Linked DNA regions of Arabidopsis thaliana. The protein of the gene in region 1 purifies or fractionates together with the protein of each later gene. This does not show direct contact. Each region holds a gene or a part of one and is shown on either strand. Other genes may lie near its edges.

Region 1 (7,769 bases):
ATCAACCATGTATGCACATTGATTAAAATGTGTTTTCCCGATGGAGAGCAAATATATCTTATTCGAGTGATCAAGTTCATAAAGAGCTCGAATTAGTTATGCTTTTATTCAAAGTAGAGCAATTTCATAAAACTATAATATATCTTAACTGTAATAACAGATCAGCTGGCTAAATACTATGATGCTACTACTGAAGATGAGATTGCAAAACATAAAACTTGTGGCTTGATGAGTTCATATAGAAGATATAATAATTATGCAAACCAAAATATGTATACGTACGAATCTTCTTTTACCATACGGATCGTCGTCGGATACTGCTTGTCTTTTTCTCTGTTTTTTTCTCCTAAATATCACATATATATTCAATGTGAGAAAGTATGAGAAACAGGACAAAATATAGATATTGGTTCGTAAAGTTTTTAGTGGCTAGAGTTAAATAAGGAATTAAATGAGAGCAAATCTCTTTGATATACACCTCATATCAATGAAAAAACTTAATATTGGTGTATTTGTTTCTTTCGTCCGACTCTTGAAGAATTAAAAGGTTATATACAAAAAAAAATTTGCCCTTTCACATTTTCTAAAGATCATATCATCTTTGATATAATCGTTTGATGCATGTTTACTCATTCATAAACATTTTATAAAATCTTCTATATTATTTTGATTCGAAATTTCACACTCAAAACATAAAATTTCCAAGGATAACCAATGAAATGAATACACAAGATATAATATAAGTTATCACCATAAATTACATAATCAGTATAGATAAAGAAAATGTTCTGAATACCAATTTAGTTTATAAATTTATTTTTTTCGTTTATGATTTATCAATGGTTCAGTTGAGTGGTTTTTAATTAAAAAAATAATATTTTGTTCAACAAAAATTCAGAACGATGGTTGGAAAAAATAAATTAAAACAATGCGTATATTGGATTAAAAATAAATCATATTATATGATTCTATTTGTCCGGGATTTATAAATTGATATGATACGATAAGGTCAGTGATAAAATAAATTGATAAGATAAGGACTTTATATGATTCTATTTCCACCCGTTGGAATCTTTGGTTGGCTATTTATTCTTAGATTCGAGAATCAATTAGCGAAAACAAATACTAGTTTAAAAAAGAAAAAAACTATATGATAAGAGACCGTAATAGACGTGGTACGTTTTAAGTCAAAGGTCAAAAAGCCGAATTATATATTTCTGGCTCCTTCCACAACTTTTGGAAAATTTCCTTCGTAGTTTTCACTTGAACCCATTTTTTAACAACAATTCTTCTACTTGGATTGATAATTCAAAAGGAAACTAACTCTCCCATAGTTAAAACTGAATCACTGTTAAAAAAAAAAAAAAGTAAAGTAAATATACTAAATCAATGTTTTTTTCTCTGGAAGTAAATATACAAGTTTAAAATTAAAGGAGAAGAGAAGCTATATATTGCTTTGCCTCACCATTTAGGAGATAATTCATATGAAGCAAAGAAAGCATATCCTTTGGCATATTCGATAATATATGGCATCTAATCATCTGTATAAGCTTTTCATATTTTTGTTAGATGCTTTTTCGTACAAATGCATTAAGATAAAATTAAACAAAAAAACAAGATATGATATTCAGTTTCGTGAAATATTAAAAGAAGTCAAAAAAAGGGAAAAATGAAAAGTCGAATTGGTGGACAGTGGACTCATTGGTCCACTTAAAAGTCATCAGAACCGTACACATGCAAGCTTGGTCCATTTTCGTATGACGACGTACAAGTTACAACATTCAAAAAACTTCCTAATTTACAAGTTTTTGCTTATGTTTATGGGAAATATTTTTCTGCAACGAAAAATCATTAAGACTATATTTTTCTGTTGGCAAAGACTTGACTCAGTCCCTTTTTACTGCCCATTAGTAATCTTTGGAGTGAAAATACGAATTTAACTAATTTTCTAAAATTTGATTAAAGTCTAAGAGAGAAAAAAAGATTTCGGCTATAAATAAGTTACAACTACACATCGAATGGACTAGAAAATTTTCGCTTCTTATATTTTTTTAAAAAGAAAAACCAAAAAATCCTTTGAAACTTTTTTAGCCTGTCGCTTCTCTTTCCATCGTCTTCCTCGTGAACGAAACTTCTCGATCTTCTTTTCTTTTTTTTCACCTGTTTTTCGGTATCACGAGAATACTACACTTCCCACTCCAGTAATACGCCACTCCTTCTTTTTTTTTTTGTCTCGTTTAAATTTTTATAAACTCCATAATTTTATCTTAAAGTGAATCTTTTTTGTTTTTTTTGTTCCAGCTTTATCGGATATATTTCCTTGATTTTCTCCGATTGTGGTCAATCTGGAAAATTATTGAGAATCTCTCCCTCACTTAACCAAAAGCGTTTTTAATCAGATAGAGAGAGAGGAAAAAGCATCAACCAAACCATGGCTGCGAGAAATTTGGAGAAGATGGCTTCTATTGATGCTCAGCTCAGGCTTCTTGCTCCTGGCAAGGTTTCTGAAGACGACAAGCTTATCGAGTACGATGCTCTGTTACTGGATCGATTTCTCGATATTCTTCAGGATTTGCATGGCGAGGATGTCAGAGAATTCGTATGTTTTCCTCCTTTTCTCACTCTTTCTTCTTTCTTAAATACTGGATTTTTGCTAAAATTTTGAACTTTTAGTTACATAGTGGGTTACCCATCAGTGAATCATCATGTGGGTTTGTTGTTTCTGCTTAGATTATCCATAAAGTTGAATCCTTTTCAGTGATATCGAGCAGATCAGATCACACTGTGTTAAGATTGTTCATGTTATTCTCTGTTTTTGTTGGGTTTGTGAGTATATTTGTTTGCTTCAGTGGCTCATTGAGTTTGCATCTGTGATTGTTTCTGATGATTTTCAGTTTACTGAATCATATAATGTCTTTTGTTTTGTCTAAAAGGTTCAAGAATGCTACGAAGTTGCAGCTGATTACGATGGAAACCGCAACACTGAGAAGCTTGAGGAGCTTGGAAATATGCTGACGAGTTTGGATCCAGGGGATTCAATTGTTGTCACTAAATCATTCTCCAACATGCTTAGCTTGGCTAATCTGGCTGAGGAAGTCCAGATTGCTTACCGGCGTAGGATTAAGAAACTCAAGAAAGGTGATTTCGCTGATGAGGCCTCTGCAACAACGGAATCTGACATTGAAGAGACTCTCAAGAGGCTTTTGCAGCTTAACAAGACTCCTGAAGAGGTCTTTGATGCTCTTAAGAATCAGACTGTTGACTTGGTTTTAACTGCTCATCCCACTCAATCTGTTCGTCGGTCTTTGCTCCAAAAGTTTGGAAGGTTTGTTTAACTTTTTTAGTGTCTTGACATTTTGGATTCCTTGTGTGTGTGACTTGACTGATGTATTTTTTTGTCTCAAATGTTTTCAGGATTCGTGATTGTTTGACGCAGTTATATGCAAAGGACATTACTCCTGATGACAAACAAGAACTCGATGAAGCTCTGCAACGAGAGGTAAGCGAAACTAAAGAACTCAATAAAGCTTCTTTTGCATGAATTCTACTAAAACTCTGTTTTTGTTGCACCAGATTCAAGCTGCTTTTCGCACAGATGAAATCCGAAGAACTCCTCCTACACCGCAAGATGAAATGAGAGCAGGGATGAGCTACTTCCATGAGACAATCTGGAAAGGAGTTCCAAAGTTCTTAAGACGTGTTGACACAGCTTTAAAGAACATTGGAATCAACGAGCGTGTTCCTTACAATGCGCCTCTCATTCAGTTCTCTTCTTGGATGGGCGGAGACCGTGATGGTACACTCTTGCTTCTTTCTTATCTCAAACCATTAAAACATGAATTGGTTCTTATGAGTGAAAACATTTTCTGAATCTAGGAAACCCGCGAGTAACTCCTGAAGTTACAAGAGATGTATGCTTATTAGCTAGAATGATGGCTGCTAATCTCTACTTCTCCCAGATAGAAGATCTTATGTTTGAGGTAGCAAAAATTTTATTCACATCACAGCAATTTAGTTTATTGGTTAATGTTAAGGACAGAGATCTTATTTTTTTTGGTTTGATGTGTTTGTTTGCAGATGTCTATGTGGCGTTGCAATGAGGAACTTCGGGTTCGTGCAGAACGTCAAAGATGTGCGAAGAGGGATGCAAAACACTATATAGGTGTGTGTTACATTCTTGACATTTTTTTATGTGTCCGACATGTTAACAGTTTGTTATATTATGTTTGATGTATGATCGATTTTTGGATGGATGTAGAATTCTGGAAACAAATCCCTGCGAATGAGCCATACCGAGCTATTCTTGGAGATGTGAGGGACAAGCTGTACAACACACGTGAGCGTGCACGTCAGTTATTGTCAAGCGGAGTTTCGGACGTTCCCGAAGACGCGGTTTTCACAAGTGTGGATCAGGTGTGTTTTCGTGCTGTTTGCAGATCAACTAGAGATGTTTAAGCCATATAACTGCAACTTCAATTCCTTTGAAAATTAGAATCGTATTTGATTAAACATGGAAGCTATACCATACTGATGCATAGTTTATTTGGTAACTATTTTTCTAAATTTGAAAATCCCAAACCAAAAGAGAACCAAAATATGGATTGAACCACTCTAAGATCAAAGCTGTTGTTTGTTTCTTGTTTGATTGATTTTATAATTTTCTAACCTTTGATTGTTTCTGTTTCTATCCAAAGTTTTTGGAGCCACTTGAGCTTTGTTACAGGTCGCTCTGTGATTGCGGTGACAGACCTATTGCTGATGGAAGCCTGCTTGATTTCTTACGCCAAGTGTCAACATTTGGCCTTGCTCTTGTGAAACTTGATATCCGTCAAGAATCTGAAAGACACTCTGATGTCTTGGATGCCATCACGACGCACTTAGGTATTGGTTCTTACAAAGAATGGTCGGAGGATAAAAGACAGGAATGGCTGTTATCTGAGCTAAGCGGGAAACGCCCTCTCTTTGGACCGGATCTTCCCAAAACCGAAGAGGTTGCAGATGTGTTGGACACTTTCAAAGTCATTTCTGAGCTTCCTTCGGATAGTTTTGGTGCTTATATTATCTCAATGGCCACTGCTCCATCAGACGTGCTCGCTGTTGAGCTTTTGCAACGCGAATGCGGGATCACTGATCCTCTGAGAGTTGTCCCGTTGTTCGAGAAGCTAGCGGATTTAGAATCCGCACCTGCTGCAGTTGCCCGTCTCTTCTCCATAGAATGGTACAGAAACAGGATCAATGGAAAGCAAGAAGTCATGATCGGGTACTCTGACTCGGGCAAAGATGCTGGTCGTTTATCAGCGGCTTGGCAGTTATACAAGACTCAAGAAGAGCTCGTGAAGGTGGCAAAAGAATACGGAGTCAAGCTGACAATGTTCCACGGAAGAGGTGGGACCGTTGGACGAGGAGGTGGACCTACCCATCTTGCTATTTTGTCTCAGCCTCCGGATACCATTCATGGGCAATTGAGGGTAACGGTTCAAGGTGAAGTTATTGAACAGTCTTTCGGAGAAGAGCACTTATGCTTTAGGACTCTTCAGCGTTTCACAGCTGCAACACTTGAGCATGGAATGCATCCACCGGTTTCCCCTAAGCCTGAGTGGCGTGTCCTCATGGATGAAATGGCTATAATTGCCACTGAAGAATACCGTTCTGTTGTCTTCAAGGAGCCCCGTTTTGTTGAGTACTTCCGTCTGGTAAGTTCTTAACCAGCTCAATTACTCCTCTCTTAAACAAATTGTAGTTAAAAAAGAGAGTCTAAGTTCAGGTTTGGGTTTGTATTATAGGCAACACCAGAGCTCGAGTATGGAAGGATGAACATAGGAAGCCGACCATCAAAACGTAAACCAAGCGGAGGAATCGAGTCGCTGCGTGCAATCCCGTGGATCTTTGCGTGGACTCAGACGAGGTTTCACTTACCCGTGTGGCTTGGCTTTGGAGGAGCATTCAAACGCGTGATACAGAAGGACAGTAAGAATCTCAACATGCTCAAAGAGATGTACAACCAATGGCCATTCTTCCGTGTCACAATTGATCTAGTCGAAATGGTTTTCGCCAAAGGAGATCCCGGAATTGCGGCTCTGTATGACCGCCTCCTCGTCTCTGAAGAACTTCAACCATTCGGTGAACAACTTCGAGTTAACTACCAAGAGACCAGACGCCTCCTCCTCCAGGTATTACTTACTTCCACTATAACCACATTATAGATGTCCCATCCGGTTTCCATGCGGTGTCAGACCATACAAGCTAACTTAACCCGTGCGTTTCGTACCTTTCCAGGTTGCAGGTCACAAAGACATTTTAGAAGGTGACCCTTACTTGAGGCAAAGGCTGCAGCTTCGTGACCCATACATCACGACATTGAACGTGTGTCAAGCCTATACACTCAAGCAGATCCGTGACCCAAGCTTCCACGTCAAAGTCCGGCCACATCTCTCTAAGGACTACATGGAGTCTAGTCCAGCGGCTGAGCTCGTGAAACTGAATCCAAAGAGTGAATACGCACCGGGACTTGAAGATACGGTTATCCTCACCATGAAGGGTATCGCTGCTGGTATGCAAAACACCGGTTAAGGCAGTTTAAAACGTTCTTGTACCATTCCCTAAATCTACGCTATGTAATGTATTATGTTCTATGATGTGATGAAATCTCTCCAACTCCTATCCCGTACGCTTTTTAATGAGTATGATAATTTCTTGTGTTATTCTATTGTTGTTATGTTACCATATCTAGGAAATATATTTCTGAAAGAAACAAGAAAAGAAATCTTTCTTTTCGTTCTAAGATGTTGAAATTACCATTCGTAATATATAAACTCCAAAAATTAAACACTTAAATCCAAAAAATAAACTCTAAATTTTAAACACGAAAATTTGGACAAAATAGGTATGTCATTAAATTCATTTTTTTTGGAAAAACAGTTCCTTAGTTATTCCCTAATGAAGATTAATTCCTTCTAATGTTATATAGTCCATTATTTGAATAAAATATAAAATTGTGCTGAGAAGATAAAGTACAATTAAAATGAGTGGACTGGTGGATAGAGAGTGATGACATGTCATGATATGGTTAGACAGAGAAGAACCAAATGGATCCCACGAGGAATAATATAATGAATAAAATCACTTACTGACACAGACCATTGAGTAGTAATTACCCCGTTTAACCCGCGTTAATTACGCTTGTGTCCCTACGCGCGTCTCAAAGATCTCTCTCTTCTCTGGAGAAAAAATAAAACAAAAGAACAGCGTTCGCCGAGAGATATACATACTCGGATCAGTCGTCAAAAGCTTTGGAATTTGATACTTTTGATTTTTCGAGAATCTTGAAAATCAGTCATGGGTTCTGGAAAAGAGCGTGACACTTTCGTCTACCTCGCTAAGCTCTCTGAGCAAGCTGAGCGTTATGAAGGTAAGGAATCTTCTTCTTCTTCTTCTCACTCGAATCAGGTCTTTTTGATAGCTTCTTGAGCTCGATTTCTGTTTGATTTTACTGGACTTTGATATCATCGAACGGGTTTCAATCGTTTGGTTTGATTGAGAGTTTACGAATGGGGAACTTCTTATCAAGGAATTAGATTCAAAAGTCTTGATTTTTAGCAGATGGGTATTGAAAAATGTGAATTCTTTTTTTCACAGAAATGGTGGAATCAATGAAAAGTGTTGCGAAATTGAATGTTGATCTGACGGTGGAAGAGAGGAACTTACTCTCTGTGGGTTACAAGAACGTGATTGGTTCAAGGAGAGCTTCGTGGAGGATCTTCTCGTCGATT
Region 2 (5,782 bases), on another chromosome or scaffold:
TAGCATTTTTTCCTATGATGTAGGATAAATCACCCTTATAAAGGGATTAAAACGTTTCAGAAACGTTTGGAAACTAAACTACAAAGGGATTCAGTAATTTATTCAATGCTTATTTCGAACAATGATGATAGCATTAAGATCTTACAGCCGATTAAATTTGCGCAAACAATGATGATAGCATTAAGTTTTTAATCGATATGTCTTCGATTTACATTGTCTATTGTATACTTACAAACTTTTATGCCATATGAACTGTTTTCTTATATTAAAGATTGAAAATGTTTTATGGGGAAGAAGATTACATGATTGGATAGGAATCTTGAATATCTCTACAAAAACGGCCTTGTTTCTAATCAATCTATGCCAAAGTCAATCCGTTTTTTATAACCCAAATTAGCTATAAAACCTACTGCTATATAAACTGGATGCAACGGGACAACCAAATGCATTATGTAGTTTTCCACTTATCGAAGAAATGAAATTGATAATGTGAGACTTCTGTAGCAGAAAGCTCATCATGATCAAGCCTTATAAAACATTTCAAAATCTAATTCATAATGAAAATTTGCCTAGCCATTTAACTAGCTAGGGCCATTAGGCCCAATGTCCAAATAGCCTGAACGCTGGGAAAAAGTGGGGCTTTCGGAACAGAACAAATAAAATTTGACGCACTTTATTGTGTTGCAAGCTACTTCTTGAAGTATATATTTTGATTCTCGAAACGTCTTCAGTTCTGTACAAATTTAAATATTCTATTGAAAAAGAAATCTTGGTCGTCGTCGTCGAATCGGATACGTTAACGTTACGACATACGAGTCACCATTAGGGCCGTAGACGAAATACTAGGAGACGCATGAAGGTCACGTGTATCACCGTTGCAGCACATAAGTTTTCACCTCTCAGTATTGAACATGCGCCGTATTTCAATTTCAAGCTTATAAGAATATTATTTTCTGTTTTGTCTCGTCACGTAGAAGAACACTCAACACAACGGGTCATATAAAAACAATCAATTGACCAATTGAAACACTTACCATTAGCTTTACTAAAACAAAAAGTGCTACAGCTCAATTATTTCGACGTACTTTTTTTTTTTTTTTTTTTGGTCTTTTGTGGCCTATTTCGACGTTCTTTAAAACCACGATCATAGTGGTTTGGGATATAGTAATTAATTTCATGTGTTTAACCAAAAGGTAGGAAAAGTAATTAATTATTAGTTGTTGAGAAATCAAGTTGCAAAGGAGATTACCGGCGACTCCGTTGGTTTATGAAACAAACAATGAGACGGTTTAGAATGACGGTGGCCCCAATATTTTAGGTCTGCTCATATTATTTTGAATGATTTAATTTTTTTTATTTAAATAAGGTACCCTTATATACATAAATGATTTAATTTAGTAAAAGCTTTTGTTTATATTGCTTTTATACAAGTTTTTGGGTATGACTATTTTAACCTCAATCCTCAAAACTATAAAATCTATTATTGCACGCTTGGATTTTATATATATATATTCAATCTATAAGAACTAAAAAATAAAAGTGATCATAGTCAAATAATTTTTGCATAAATACTTAATATTGCTACCCAAAAAAAAGAAAATTGCATAAATTTATGTATAATTACATTATGAAAAATTATTGATATGTTGATATACAGTTTTCTAGGAAATATCAATATGAAAAGAAAAAAAGAAAAAAAAACATTGTAAGCTATTTCCCTTGAATTACACTATATGTATGTGTGACAGTATATATGTGTGAGCTTAATCATATAATTACCGTAACATCACTATTGATCTTGAAAGTTACGACGACAAAAACAAGATTCCATCATAGATCTACGTGTATCTTTTGTGTGATTAGTATATAACCAAAGCGATTAAGTGAATTTAAAATTTGTAGATATTTCTTACTTAACTGATTATACTATAAGAAGCAAACCCCAAAACCATCTGCATCTCAACGACGATAATCGTCCGAATATGTTTTTCTAATAGAGTTTGCTGACCAAATGCAAATGGCATCACGTCTCTTGCCGTTTGACGCTAGCAATTACACTTCTTCATTGAAACTTTAAAAGTGAACCCAAAGAATTAACTCAATAATAACTGATGAGTATACAAATTATTGTTTCCGGCTAAAAACCTGAAATTAACTCAAATTTGGAATGGGGATATTATAACTTTGTTCCCACGTATAACAAATTAGTTCATAATTAAGAGGAGAATCACAAAAATAACTGATGTATTGATGTTCAATTTTGGAAAATTAAGATATTTCCAATGGTAATAATCTGTTACAGCCTTACTGGGAGTAGTATGATACTAAAACAGTAAATGCATTTTAGACCGACATAAACAATAATTAAGAAGAAGAATGTTTGGGTCAAATCTCAAAGTTAGATATTATTTTTTTGCTTTTTGCACAAGAAAACAGAAACCAAAAACCACTAGTCAAAAAACCACCCATGTATTCCTCCTAGTCTCTAATCCAACAACTATATAAAAACCTCTCCCATTCTCATTTTGTTACTCATCCCAAAAATAAAAAGAGTATATCTCTCACACACATACACAAACTTGACAGTTTTTTAATTTCTCTGTTAGTGAACTCAAACCTTCCCATTTCCATGGACACCAAAATCGGATCGATCGATGATTGCAAGCCGACGAACGGCGACGTCTGTAGTCCAACAAACGGCACCGTCGCAACAATCCACAACTCTGTTCCTTCCTCCGCTATCACCATCAACTACTGCGACGCGACTCTCGGCCGTCACTTAGCTCGTCGTCTCGTCCAAGCCGGCGTTACGGATGTTTTCTCTGTTCCCGGAGATTTCAACCTCACTTTGCTTGATCACCTCATGGCTGAGCCGGACCTCAACCTAATCGGATGTTGTAACGAGCTAAACGCCGGTTACGCTGCCGACGGTTACGCTAGATCTCGTGGAGTCGGCGCTTGCGTTGTTACCTTCACCGTTGGTGGACTCAGCGTTTTAAACGCGATCGCTGGTGCTTACAGCGAGAATCTTCCTCTTATCTGTATCGTCGGAGGTCCTAACTCTAACGATTATGGCACTAACCGGATTCTTCATCACACCATTGGATTACCTGATTTTAGCCAAGAGCTTAGGTGCTTCCAAACGGTGACTTGTTATCAGGTAATCACAAAAAATCAGATCTAATTAGAAATATTTTGAAGATTAATTAGCGTCGGATTATGAATGATTTTGGTTCTGTTTTTGTTTCTCAGGCGGTGGTGAACAATTTAGATGATGCTCATGAACAGATTGATAAAGCAATATCAACAGCTTTGAAAGAGAGCAAGCCTGTGTATATAAGTGTAAGCTGTAACTTAGCAGCGATTCCTCATCATACATTTAGCCGTGATCCTGTCCCTTTTTCTCTAGCTCCAAGGTAATTTATACTTGAACTCTGATCAATACTCTGTTTCTGCGAGAATTAAAACTCACAAATGGTTTTATCAGATTGAGCAACAAGATGGGTTTAGAAGCTGCGGTGGAAGCAACATTGGAGTTTCTGAATAAGGCTGTGAAGCCAGTTATGGTTGGTGGTCCTAAGTTGCGTGTGGCTAAAGCTTGTGATGCCTTTGTTGAGCTAGCTGATGCTTCAGGCTATGCTTTGGCGATGATGCCTTCTGCGAAAGGCTTTGTACCAGAGCACCATCCTCATTTCATTGGAACTTATTGGGGAGCAGTGAGCACTCCTTTTTGCTCTGAGATTGTGGAATCTGCGGATGCTTACATTTTTGCAGGTCCAATCTTCAACGACTATAGCTCTGTTGGTTACTCGCTTCTCCTCAAGAAAGAAAAAGCCATCGTTGTGCAACCTGATCGTATCACTGTGGCCAATGGTCCTACTTTTGGTTGCATTTTGATGAGCGATTTCTTCAGGGAATTGTCTAAGAGGGTGAAGCGTAACGAGACTGCATATGAGAACTACCATAGGATCTTTGTCCCTGAAGGTAAGCCATTGAAGTGTGAATCAAGAGAGCCATTGAGAGTTAACACAATGTTCCAGCACATTCAGAAGATGCTCTCTAGTGAAACCGCTGTGATTGCTGAAACCGGTGATTCTTGGTTCAATTGCCAAAAACTAAAGCTGCCAAAAGGATGTGGGTAAGTGTCCAGAAAAAAAAAGAGACTCTAATCTTTACACTTATTATAGTGAAGTAGGCACAAGATTTGAACCTGCTTTCTTCATTGTAGGTACGAGTTTCAGATGCAGTATGGATCGATTGGGTGGTCTGTTGGTGCAACTCTAGGATACGCACAGGCATCACCAGAGAAGCGAGTGTTGGCATTCATCGGTGATGGGAGTTTCCAAGTCACGGTTCAGGACATATCAACAATGCTGCGTAATGGACAGAAGACGATCATCTTCTTGATTAACAATGGTGGCTACACCATTGAAGTAGAGATTCATGACGGTCCTTATAACGTGATTAAGAACTGGAACTACACTGGTCTCGTTGACGCCATTCATAACGGTGAAGGCAATTGCTGGACTGCAAAGGTAATTAAAAAGATTGATGACAATGGAGTTTTAGCCAGACTTTGGTTATAAACTAACATATGAATTTGGTGTGTTTGACAGGTGAGATACGAAGAGGAGTTAGTGGAGGCGATTACGACAGCGACGACGGAGAAGAAAGATTGTCTATGTTTCATAGAAGTGATTCTTCACAAGGATGATACGAGCAAAGAGTTGCTTGAGTGGGGCTCACGCGTCTCTGCTGCTAACAGCCGTCCTCCCAATCCTCAGTAGAAGAAGCAACACAGAATCTTCAATGCTTCTTACCAATTTAGTGACATTTTCTGATAAGTGTTGATTTTTCGACCGTTGGGTTTAATCATGTTTCAAACTTATTAGTATCTCTTTCCATGTACGCTTTATCATGGAATAAAGTAAAGCTCCTTTTGCAGTTTCATTAGATTGAACAAATCCAAATGGTTCAATCTAAATCAATTTGGTTAATATCATATGATCTTTTTTGCATTTAAACTTGCTAAAAAATCGAACTAACCATGTTTTGCTAGAATTTTGAACCACATATCCTAGTGAAGAATACCATCCAACCTGGATGACCAATCTATTGAAGATAAATGTCAGTTGAAGGGCTTAAAATCATATCACTTATATAGCTAAGTTTCCTACATATAACATGTATTAACACATTAGTTCTGTATCATTGGAGCTAGTGACCTTATTTAAGATGCTCATTCATGTCTCTGAATGTATCTAAGTTTAAACAGGAGAGATTTTGACAGTGAACGGGCATCTTAAGGATCAACATAAGAAAACAAAATTAAATGGTTAAGATTTCCAAACTCAGGCAAGAGATTTTCCAGACCATTCTCGCTCCCTTCGTTTTTGTTTGGCTTGCATTCTGTTGAACTTCTCTTTTCCCTTTTCAAGAAGAGGGTCAACCACCATATACGCATCTGGATCATCCCTGCGTGACATTTTATCCTGCAGGATAGTTTCACACTGTCAGGTTCTTCCACAGGACACTATAAACACAAACATAGCTCAGCCTTCTGATGAAATCATTTGTGATTAGCATGCACTATCCTATGAACTACTGGATTTTCGATTTTAATGTTAACTAAACAGAACAACGTAGTAATGAATCCATTAGATCCGCACTCAAGTGAGATGGAACCTTAGAGATTTACCTTGCCACGCTCAGGAGCAAACTTGAGCTTTACATTCTTCCAATCAGAGAGATCTTCTTCTTTATTGTCAACTGGTTCACTACT
Region 3 (5,449 bases), on another chromosome or scaffold:
TTCAACTTCTGCAGGAAATGCACAATGTTGGTCTGAAATGGGTTGATAGATTCCAGAACGAGGATGCATCTCTTATCTTCCGCCTTGGATATCACTCGGTACTTAAGTCATCCTTTACATTCAAAGCACTGCTGAATTTTCTGTTTCCCCTGAGTGTAGACTTCAGATTTGCACTTTCTGTTCGGTCGTTTTAGAGGTTAAACCTAAGAGTTCATTAGCAAAATCATTGAAATTGATATGTTTAACATACATTGAGTTTTTCTCTTTCAGGTTCCCTCGATGCGACAACTACACTTACACGTTATAAGCCAAGACTTTAATTCAGATAGTTTGAAGAACAAGAAACACTGGAACTCTTTCACGACCTCGTTCTTCCGTGACTCAGTTGATGTACTTGAAGAGGTCAACAGCCAAGGCAAGGCCAATGTGGCGAGCGAAGATCTGTTGAAAGGTGAGCTGCGTTGCAATCGGTGTAGAAGCGCACACCCAAATATTCCAAAACTTAAATCACATGTCAGAAGCTGCCATTCTCAATTTCCAGACCATTTACTCCAAAACAATCGCCTTGTGGCTAGAGCAGAGACGTAGTAGTTATAACGACCGGTTCTATTTCGGTTAGGATTTTTTTTTCTTTGTTATCTAATTGTTACGGGTAATATATATTGTGATTTTGGTTCAGATTCAGTCTCTGTAAAAATTCATCTCTGTTCTTAGGTTTTCATCTTCTTCTGGTTATTAAGTTTTTGATTTTGTTCTTGAGTTATAAACTTAAATGGCAAGAAAACAAGACAGATAAAAAGAAAAAAAAGTCAAATAAATTTTAACCCAATTGAGATGTAAGATGGTTTAAAAATGTTTGATTTAGGTTGAATCAATTGATTTTTTTCGGACTTTACATATAAGAAAAAGCACAAATATTGAAGAATATTAGGGAAAAAGGGAATTGTATTACACCATCAATGGTAATGGTACAGTACAACTAACTGGAAAGTATCAAAAGCAATTAAAACCAACGGTCGAAAATTCGAAAATTCGAACAGAAAACAATCTAATTCAATTGCAAAGAAACGAGAGATGCTTGAGTCACACTCAAGATTCTTTTCTCTTGCTTCTACTGAGGATTGGGAGGACGACCATTAGCAGCTGAGACGCGAGATCCCCACTCAAGCAACTCTTTGCTTGTATCATCTTTGTGAACAATCACTTCAATGAAACAAAGACTATCTTTCTTCTCCGTTGTCGCAGTCTTAATCGCTTCCACTAACTCCTCCTCGTATCTCACCTGCCAAACACAATGTTACTTCAACACCAAATTCATACGTTAGTTACTAGTTGTAATCATTAATTACCTTTGTGGTCCAGCATTTTCCTTCACCGTTATGAATAGCATCGACAAGACCAGTGTAGTTCCAGTTCTTGATAACATTGTAAGGACCATCATGAATCTCAACTTCAATGGTGTAGCCACCGTTGTTGATCAAGAAGATGATCGCCTTCTGTCCGTTACGAATCATCGTGGATATGTCCTGAGCAGTCACTTGGAAACTCCCATCTCCAATGAAAGACAACACTCTCTTCTCCGGGGTTGCTTGGGCGTATCCTAGAGTCGCACCAACAGACCAACCAATGGATCCATACTGCATCTGAAACTCGTACCTACAATATAGAGAACAACTTTTCTCAAAACTTGTGTTTGTTTCGCTATTGTCACAATGTTAGAAATGTCAAAGATTCAGTTTCTTTGTTAGACACGTACCCACATCCTTTAGGCAGCTTTAGCTTCTGACAATTGAACCAAGAATCACCAGTTTCAGCAATCACAGCGGTTTCACTAGAGAGCATCTTCTGAATGTGTTGGAACATTGCGTTGACCCTCAATGGCTCTCCTGGTTTGCATTTCAATGGCTTACCTTCAGGTACAAAGATCCTCTCATAGTTCTCATAAGCTGTCTCGTTACGCTTAACCCTCTTAGCCAACTCCCTGAAGAAATCGCTCATCAGAACGCAACCAAACGTTGGACCATTAGCCACAACGACTCGATCAGGATGCACAATTATTGCTTTTTCTTTCTTGAGGAGAAGAGAGTAACCTACGGAGCTGTAGTCGTTGAAGATTGGACCTGCGAAGATGTAAGCATCCGCAGATTCGACAATCTCAGAGCAGAAAGGTGTGCTTACTGCTCCCCAGTAAGTGCCAATGAAATGAGGATGGTTCTCTGGTACAAGGCCTTTTGTAGAAGGCATCACTGCGAGAGGGTAGCCTGAAGCATCAGCTAGCTCCAAAAAGGCCTCACTTGCTTTAGCCACACGCAACTTTGGGCCACCAACCATAACTGGCTTCACTGCCTTGTTCAGAAACTCCAATGTTGCTTCCACCGCAGCTTCTAAACCCATCGTGTTGCTCATCCTAAGAAACAATACATACAATAGTGAGAAATCTAAAACAAACGTTGATTCGATGAGTCTGTTTAGAGTAATGATTACCTAGGAGTTAGGTCAAAAGGGACAGGATCACGAGCAAACGTAGGATGAGGAGTTGCAGCTAAGTTGCAACTGATGCTAATGTACACAGGCTTGCTCTCTTTCAAAGCTGTTGCTATCGCCTTGTCGATCTGTTCATGAGCATCCTCCAAATTGTTCACCACAGCCTGAAAACAAACACATAGTTAAAATCTAAGCAAAGGAGATATATATGTGATGATCAAGACTAGTTGATATTGAAATGTGTTAATACCTGGTAGCAAGTAACAGTTTGGAAACACCTAAGCTCTTGGCTAAAGTCAGGTAAACCGATGGTGTGATGAAGAATCCGGTTAGTGCCAAAATCGTTGGAGTTAGGACCTCCAACGATACATATAACTGGTAGGTTCTCACTGTACGCACCAGCGATAGCGTTCAAAACGCTGAGTCCACCAACGGTGAAAGTCACGACGCAAGCACCGACTCCACGAGATCGAGCGTATCCATCGGCGGCGTAACCGGCGTTAAGCTCGTTACAGCATCCGATGTTGTTGAGCTCTGGCTCGGCGATGAGGTGGTCGAGAAGAGTTAGGTTGAAATCACCGGGAACAGAGAAAACATCGGTGACTCCGGCTTGGACAAGACGGCGGGATAAGTGACGTCCTAGAGTCGATTCGGAGGTTGTGGTGATGGGAGCGGAGTCTTGGATTGTTGCGACGGCGTTGCTTGGTGGACTTCCGATGTCACCAGTTGTTGGCTTACACGTGTCGATGGCTCCAATTTTGGTGTCCATTGGAAAGCTTATTATGAAGAAAATGAAACCTTTTAGTATTTATTTTAGTGGTGATGATGAGTAATAAATTGGAATTATTAGATGGGTTATATAGTTGTACATGTTGATTAGTGCAAATTACATTCGGTTTCTGACTTCCTTGTGCCAAAAGCATAAAGATTTACTGAAATATTTTTGCAATTTTCTTGCTGTCATCTTACATTTAGTTACTTTTTTACAGATAGAAATTTACTTATATAAATTGATACTTATATACACGAAACACGGACGTTTTATTTTGCACTAAAAAATTTATAATTTTTTGTGATACGAAAAGACATTTTACGTTAGAAGATGATGAAAATAAATTTATTTTCAAACTATATTAGAGTATAACATGGATTTTTTATTTTATTTTTGTTATTAACTATATATGTATCTTTGAACTTGTTTGCCAAGATGAACCATTAATGCAGCATTAAGTCTCTGATTTTCGTCTTAACTATGATATAACTTACATTAAGTAGCTGCCAAAGAAACGAAAAAGAACCTAAAGAAATACTAGATTCGTATTGTTCAAGAATTTTATTACCTTATATTGAGAAGTTAGTATAATTATTGGAACTCAATAATTTACATGCACGTAAAGGCATTAATAAGATTAGAATATTCCATCCTGATTCCATCAACAATTTTCATTTCACGTTTAAGAAAAAGCAGAAATATTGAAGTTTATAATGAAAACTTTGTCAACAAGGGGTTCCCTAATATGAAGGATATTAAAAGCAAAATCAATTAAAACCAGCGGTCAAAAAATCGAAACCAGTACTTAATTAGACATAAGAGAAAGAACAAAAGTAGCGATGTGATTAGATTGCCAATAAACGATAGATGCTTGAGCGACACTCAAGATTCGTTTCTTTTCTCTTGCTTCTACTGAGGATTGGGAGGACGACCATTAGCAGCTGAGACGCGAGAGCCCCACTCAAGCAACTCTTTGCTCGTATCATCCTTGTGAACAATCACTTCAATGAAACAAAGACTATCTTTCTTCTCCAATGTCGCCGTGTTAATCGCTTCCACTAACTCCTCCTCGTATCTCACCTACCAAAAACACAACATTCATAATGTTACTCTTCAACCCTGGACTCATATGTTTAATTTCCAACTGTAAACATCAATTACCTTTGTGGTCCAGCATTTGCCTTCACCATTATGAATAGCATCGACAAGACCAGTGTAGTTCCAATTCTTGATCACATTGTAAGGACCATCATGAATCTCAACTTCAATGGTGTAGCCACCGTTGTTGATCAGGAAGATGATGGTCTTCTGTCCGTTACGAATCATTGTGGAAACGTCCTGAGCCGTCACTTGGAAACTTCCGTCTCCAATGAAAGACAACACTCTCTTCTCCGGTGTTGCTTGAGCGTATCCTAGAGTCGCACCAACAGACCAACCAATTGATCCATACTGCATTTGAAACTCGTACCTACAATATAGAGAACAACGACTTTTTAAAACTCTTGTGTGTTTTTTCTTTTCCAGAGAATTACTAAAAAGTTCTGGGGATATCTATATAGGCCCATAAATCATCTCAGGCTAAATACCAAGGCATTTTATATCGTTTCCAACCAAGTACATATATACCACCACTCTTTAACCAGCAATTTCTAGATGTTGACTTTACTAGATGAGCTTATATTGACTGCTTCAACAATGTTAAAAGGTAAAAGATTTAGTTTCCTTTTTCTAGATACGTACCCACATCCTTTAGGCAGCTTAAGTTTCTGACAATTGAACCAAGAATCACCAGTTTCAGCAATCACAGCGGTTTCATTAGAGAGCATCTTCTGAATGTGTTGGAACATTGCGTTGATTCTCAAAGGCTCTCTTGGTTTGCATTTCAAAGGCTTACCTTCAGGGACAAAGATTCTATGGTAGTTCTCATAAGCCGTCTTGTTAGGTTTCACCCTCTTAGCCAACTCCCTGAAGAATTCGCTCATCCGAACGCAACCAAAGGTAGGACCATTAGCCACAACGACACTATCAGGATGCACAATGATGGCTTTTTCTTTCTTGAGGAGAAGTGAGTAACCAACGGAGCTGTAGTCGTTGAAGATTGGACCTGCGAAGATGTAAGCATCCGCGGACTCGACAATCTCAGAGCAGAAAAGAGTGCTCACTGCTCCCCAGTAAGTGCCAATGAAATGAGGA
Region 4 (5,454 bases), on another chromosome or scaffold:
CAGTTTATTTTAGTTTCTAAGCAATGATAAGCAGAACATTCGTTTTGGGCTTTTAATTGGGCCTTTATCTTGTCTTTATTTTTTCGTCTGAAAACATCGGGCCTATATCTTCACGTCTAAATTTTAAATACAGGGAAACTGTAGCTTACAATGATGATAAATTTTTAGTTTGGTGATCCATTTTTCTCACCTATATATAATTGAAGAAAAAAAGTATATGCATATACAATAATTCAGGTAGAGTTTGACCCGAAACGGTTACAACGGTTTGGCATAATAAACAAAAAACAAATTCGGCATCCCAAGGAATGCAACGTTCACTGAGGCTTTCTCTAAAAGATAGTACTAAATTATAAAAGAAGCGTCTTTTTGAAGCAATCTCAAACTAAACCTTTTGCTTCTCTTCTCTCCCATTTCCTGTAATCATTTCTCCGATTTAACTATCTCTCTTTCTCTCATTTGCAGTTTTCCTGAAACTTTTCAGAAACCTAATTTGGTTTCTCTTATATATGCTCTTAATGAACCAGTTTATCCGGATTTCGGGTTTGATTCAAGACTCTAACCCTAAAGTCTGTTAGTTGATGCAAAGATGCTCGGAGATTTCATCACAAGAATCATAATGTTAGACCCTCTTTCTCTCTCGTCTTTCCTTCATCTGGTTTTATATTTAGGCATTTTCGTTCTTCTTTCTCTTAGATTTTCTGGAAAATTTGCAGATTGCTTGTGGGTTACGCGTACCCTGCATATGGATGCTACAAAAGCGTGGAAAAGAAAAAGCTTGAGATTCACGAACTTAGATACTGGTGCCAATATTGGTAAAGCTTACTAATTGTTAATAAAGAAGATTCCTTTTTTGGATAAGGGTATCTTATTCTCATAACCATCTTATCAAAAATCCGAATTTGATTTGTAGGATCTTGGTGGCTCTTCTTACTGTTTTCGAAAGGATAGGAGACATCATTGTATCATGGTTAGTACTTATATGTCAAACTTCAAATCTCCATCATATGCTTCTTTATTGTATGAAACCTTCTGATTCATCTCATCTATCCGCAGGTTACCACTCTACGGAGAGATCAAAATCGCTCTTCTCATCTACTTATGTTACCCGAAATCACAGGTACTAACTACAGTACAATGCAATAAAAATCTAATGAGAATTCATTCTCATTCTTAGATTCACAAAACGACCAATCTTCTTCTCTTGGTTTCTAACAGGGACTTAGCTATGTCTACGAGAAGCTACTATGTCCATACATGTCAAAACATGAATCTGACATCGATCAAGGAATCTCTGTCTTAAAGATAAGAGGACATTTAGTAATTGCTCAACTACTGCAATGTATCTTCCACTGGAGCCTCCAAATCTTCAAGCAATTGCAACAACAATTCACCATCTATAAGGTATTCAAAACAAACATATACATCCTCAAGCTTTACTGCATCAGAGCACTCTCACCAAATCCATCACTTCCTTTGTCTACAGAATAAAAACCAATCAAAGTCAAAAGATCAACAACAAACAAGAACTTCTTTAATGTTTCTCCGTTAGAAGGTGCCTGCTATACTACTCTAAGCCACAATCTCAATAACCGGGTTTTTAAACCGCCGGTTAACCGGAGTTTCACATGACTTCAAATTGACCACAGACGAACAAAAAAAAAAAGATTTTTCCTTTGATATGTTTTGAATATTGTAACACTTTATTGTATACAATTCAATTCATGAAAAATCCAATTTTCTCACCAAATCAAAGTTTATTTGACAATCAAAGGAACACGAAACGATTGAAAAATCCAATCAAACACACGTCGCAAGAACTGAAACCCGGCGGATAAGTGAAGCCAAACGCGGCGGAAGAATTGAGAACCAGCAGAATCATCTGACGAAGTAAGCACCGTTGGTTGAAGATAAGACAAAGCAGCTTGCTTAACGAGACGGTTACGAATCGAGATATCTCCGGCGGCGGTGGATATAACAGGAGAGCAGCTACCGTTGATCGACGGTAAATTGAGTGAAGAGTTAATCGGAGAAGAGATGATATCTCTGAGAGAAGTGTAAGCTACGAAAGAGGATGGTTTTACGGAGATGAGCTCGTAATCGAACGAAGACGGCGGCGTTGAAGCTATGTCGAAAGGAACTTCTGGAGGAGTTAGAGTCGTCATGTTGGATATGGATTTTGTACGGCGGAGTTGAGTCGCCGGAGATTGTGACGGCGGAATCTCCATAGTCTTTCTTCTTCTTTTTTTTTGTTTGGTTTGTTTGTGAGTTTGTGGCTGATTGGGTTTTGCGAGTGTTTAAAGTAAGGAAGGAGGTCCAATTATTGATCTCTATGATATGTACATTTGTCACTATCTTGTGTTGTATTAATTAGTAAAGAGATACGTTTACTTTATTTGTATTTTCTTAATTATTATGATTGGAATGGAAGATAGTAGGCAAATTACAAAATTTAAGGATTGATTACTATTTTTGATGTGAAGATTAGATGGAAATATATTCGGAAATCCAACCAGCCTAAAAATAGATTTTGATTTAATTATCAAAGTATGATCATCAACACGGTGTCGTTCCGGTTCATCGAACATTCCACTTCTTTCTTCTTGTCTGAAAAATCTAGAAGAGCAGCTATTTGGTTTCTCTATCCGATTCGTCTCTCTCACGCCCTCACGTTTATCCACCTCATCCTCAAACCAAACCACAAGACCTCTTTTTTAAGTAACCAATCACAGAGAGATAGAGAGAGAGAACAGAGTCAATGTCAATGGCGTCTATAGCTTCTTCTTCTTCCACCACCCTACTCTCTTCCTCTAGGGTTCTTCTTCCCTCCAAGTCTTCTCTTTTATCTCCTACCGTCTCTTTCCCCAGAATCATACCCTCTTCCTCGGCATCATCCTCTTCTCTCTGTTCCGGGTTCTCCAGTCTCGGTTCCCTCACCACCAACCGCTCCGCCTCACGCCGGAACTTCGCCGTCAAGGCTCAGGCTGTAAGTTGACTCGCAATGCCATAAATTTCTTGTATTTGCTCCATCTTCTCATTCACTATGATTGTTGTATGAATTCGTTAGCTTGTTATAATGGGATCCGTACTATTTTCCTGCTTCTTATCTCTTAAGGGTTTTGAGATCATTGGATAAAAGACTAAACTTTAAACTTTTTAGAGTTCTGCGATTTGAATTGAGCGACATTTTTGTTACCCTTCTTTCGGGTTTAATTAGGGATGGGAGGAAATGATCTGAAATTAATTAATATGATTCACATTTGGCTCATACACAGAAATCTTTTGAGCCCTGCATAGATAGTGAACACCAGTTAAAGAACATTTTGTGTGGTTAAACAATTCGATGATCGATGACTGACTAGTGTTTATATGTTTTATGAATGCAGGATGATTTACCACTGGTCGGTAATAAGGCGCCTGATTTTGAAGCTGAGGCAGTTTTTGATCAAGAGTTCATAAAGGTACTTTCATTCCATTCAAACCTTATTTAACATGTTAGTTAGTTAAGTGTCATAAGCTAAGGTCAATGCAGTAGAGCAATGTTCTGATAGTAATCGACCTATGAATCATGGTTTCAGGTGAAGCTCTCTGAGTACATTGGCAAAAAGTATGTTATTCTATTCTTCTACCCTTTGGACTTCACTTTTGTCTGCCCCACTGGTTAGTATTCTGCTAAGGAAATAGCTTCAAAACTGAAACTCTCGCCCTCATAGTCACTGAAATTTCCAATTTTTCTTTGCTTATTCTAGAGATTACTGCCTTCAGTGACCGTTATGAAGAATTTGAGAAGCTAAACACCGAAGTATTAGGGGTCTCTGTCGACAGTGTGGTAAGTCAAATTTTTATTTCTCCACCTGAACCAAGAAAGAACATTCTGGTCTCAGCATTTTGAAAAATGGTTTCAAGTATTTGATGTACTCAGAACCTTGGCAAGTGGCAGTCTGATAATCGAATGGAACGTTTTCTTTTGGATAATGGAACGTTTGATTCCATGTTCATGTAGTTCTCGCATCTTGCGTGGGTCCAAACAGACAGAAAGTCGGGAGGGCTCGGTGATCTGAATTATCCTCTTGTTTCGGATATCACTAAATCCATTTCAAAATCGTTTGGAGTGCTCATCCCTGATCAGGTAAACGATTTCTTCTGACATAGTTGCATCATACTTGCATTGAGTCCAATCCACTTGTGTTCTTTCAAGTAACGTATAGCCACTTTGAATCAAAGCATTTTGCTAATATATAAGTACAGGGCATTGCACTGAGAGGGCTTTTCATCATAGACAAGGAAGGAGTCATTCAGCATTCCACCATCAACAACCTCGGTATTGGCCGAAGTGTTGATGAGACAATGAGAACCCTCCAGGTAATAAAGAGAAAAATCACATCATTGAGATAGATAGATAAAGAGAGATTTGTTTTTGAGGTTTAGGGTTTAGATGCGTTATTTGTTGCTTCTTGTGATGTTGTCTTGCAGGCATTACAGTATGTTCAAGAAAACCCGGATGAAGTGTGCCCTGCGGGATGGAAGCCAGGGGAGAAATCAATGAAACCTGACCCCAAGCTCAGCAAAGAATACTTTTCAGCTATCTAGAGGCTAAGATTGAACACATGTTTGGTGAAAATTAGCAATCAGAGTTGTTTTATTCGTCTTTTCAAAGTTGGAGCAGAGTTGTTATTTTTAGCCAAAGAACCTTTGTATCTATCTCATCTTTCTCCTGTTTCTGCTATGTGATTCTCCTTAAATTGAATCAAAAATAAAGAAATCCTTCTTTTCTTTTGCCAATATTTATGTCTTTCACTTGTGTAAATAGTTTATAATAATGCAAAGAGGCAGAGTATTTTGACCATTGCAAAAAATAAATTAGAAAAATATCATGTGAGGTCACAGCTCCCTGGAATTAGATAACTATCTGATTGATTTGTTTAATAAACTTGAGTGCTCATTAAGCTAATCTCCATCTGTAGCCGACAACAAAATTATGTTGTGGTATTACTCGGAATATTCTCCACTCGGATTAATTAAAAAATATCGTACATGATAATTTTCTGGTTAAATAAAAATCTGATACCTTTGACACGAGAAAAAAGTTAAAAACTAGAAGTTATGGATAAAATCAGAAAATAACCAAAAGAAAAGGATCGTTTTGTCATTTCTTGAAAATAGCCCTATCCTTTTTTTCCATTAAACCAAAATGTACAAAGACAAGTGGGGAGTGATAGGGTTTGGTATATACGCGGTTAGCAGTTACCCACATGGTTTATCCACTTCACACATTTAAACCACCCCTACAAAATAATGTTTATCAAAACGACCCCAATACTTTCTTTTGTCTTCTTTCCGCCCTTACCTTCTGATGTTAAACAACTTAATTTCCGCTGTACACTGCTTTTACCAAAAAATAAACTCCCCATAATACATCCTTACGTAGCGGTAGCTACCTCCGAACCCGGTACA

What was found.
Region 2: the proteins of PPC2 (region 1) and AT4G33070 fractionate together in Arabidopsis thaliana (co-fractionation; one large-scale study listed by BioGRID). This does not show direct contact.
Region 3: the proteins of PPC2 (region 1) and AT5G01320 fractionate together in Arabidopsis thaliana (co-fractionation; one large-scale study listed by BioGRID). This does not show direct contact.
Region 4: the proteins of PPC2 (region 1) and 2-Cys Prx B fractionate together in Arabidopsis thaliana (co-fractionation; one large-scale study listed by BioGRID). This does not show direct contact.

What each region holds. Positions count from the first base shown.
Region 1 is NC_003071.7:17,733,342-17,741,110, reverse strand, and holds PPC2 (phosphoenolpyruvate carboxylase 2), read left to right. Parts: upstream 1-1,943; 5' UTR 1,944-2,201; exon of another isoform or gene 2,202-2,301; 5' UTR 2,302-2,431; coding exon 2,432-2,599; intron 2,600-2,933; coding exon 2,934-3,325; intron 3,326-3,414; coding exon 3,415-3,499; intron 3,500-3,573; coding exon 3,574-3,796; intron 3,797-3,876; coding exon 3,877-3,980; intron 3,981-4,077; coding exon 4,078-4,162; intron 4,163-4,258; coding exon 4,259-4,413; intron 4,414-4,694; coding exon 4,695-5,693; intron 5,694-5,783; coding exon 5,784-6,170; intron 6,171-6,276; coding exon 6,277-6,570; 3' UTR 6,571-6,809; downstream 6,810-7,769. Other genes in the region: GRF9 (general regulatory factor 9), read left to right, coding at 7,336-7,408, 7,636-7,769. UniProt on the Arabidopsis thaliana protein: Through the carboxylation of phosphoenolpyruvate (PEP) it forms oxaloacetate, a four-carbon dicarboxylic acid source for the tricarboxylic acid cycle.
Region 2 is NC_003075.7:15,951,524-15,957,305, reverse strand, and holds AT4G33070 (Thiamine pyrophosphate dependent pyruvate decarboxylase family protein), read left to right. Parts: upstream 1-2,502; 5' UTR 2,503-2,629; coding exon 2,630-3,160; intron 3,161-3,252; coding exon 3,253-3,416; intron 3,417-3,487; coding exon 3,488-4,138; intron 4,139-4,228; coding exon 4,229-4,535; intron 4,536-4,616; coding exon 4,617-4,787; 3' UTR 4,788-5,049; downstream 5,050-5,782. Other genes in the region: AT4G33060 (Cyclophilin-like peptidyl-prolyl cis-trans isomerase family protein), read right to left, coding at 5,352-5,492, 5,699-5,782. UniProt on the Arabidopsis thaliana protein: May play a role in ethanolic fermentation during anoxia.
Region 3 is NC_003076.8:128,373-133,821, forward strand, and holds AT5G01320 (Thiamine pyrophosphate dependent pyruvate decarboxylase family protein), read right to left. Parts: upstream 3,316-5,449; 5' UTR 3,254-3,315; coding exon 2,735-3,253; intron 2,649-2,734; coding exon 2,485-2,648; intron 2,408-2,484; coding exon 1,757-2,407; intron 1,657-1,756; coding exon 1,350-1,656; intron 1,283-1,349; coding exon 1,112-1,282; 3' UTR 891-1,111; downstream 1-890. Other genes in the region: APTX (APRATAXIN-like protein), read left to right, coding at 1-98, 271-588; PDC3 (pyruvate decarboxylase-3), read right to left, coding at 4,166-4,336, 4,418-4,724, 4,997-5,449.
Region 4 is NC_003076.8:1,916,622-1,922,075, forward strand, and holds 2-Cys Prx B (2-cysteine peroxiredoxin B), read left to right. Parts: upstream 1-2,458; 5' UTR 2,459-2,758; coding exon 2,759-2,986; intron 2,987-3,386; coding exon 3,387-3,461; intron 3,462-3,578; coding exon 3,579-3,660; intron 3,661-3,749; coding exon 3,750-3,829; intron 3,830-4,003; coding exon 4,004-4,129; intron 4,130-4,248; coding exon 4,249-4,362; coding exon of another isoform or gene 4,363-4,395; exon of another isoform or gene 4,396-4,473; coding exon 4,474-4,590; 3' UTR 4,591-4,804; downstream 4,805-5,454. Other genes in the region: AT5G06280 (uncharacterized protein), read right to left, coding at 1,758-2,228; LOG7 (Putative lysine decarboxylase family protein), read right to left, coding at 5,421-5,454.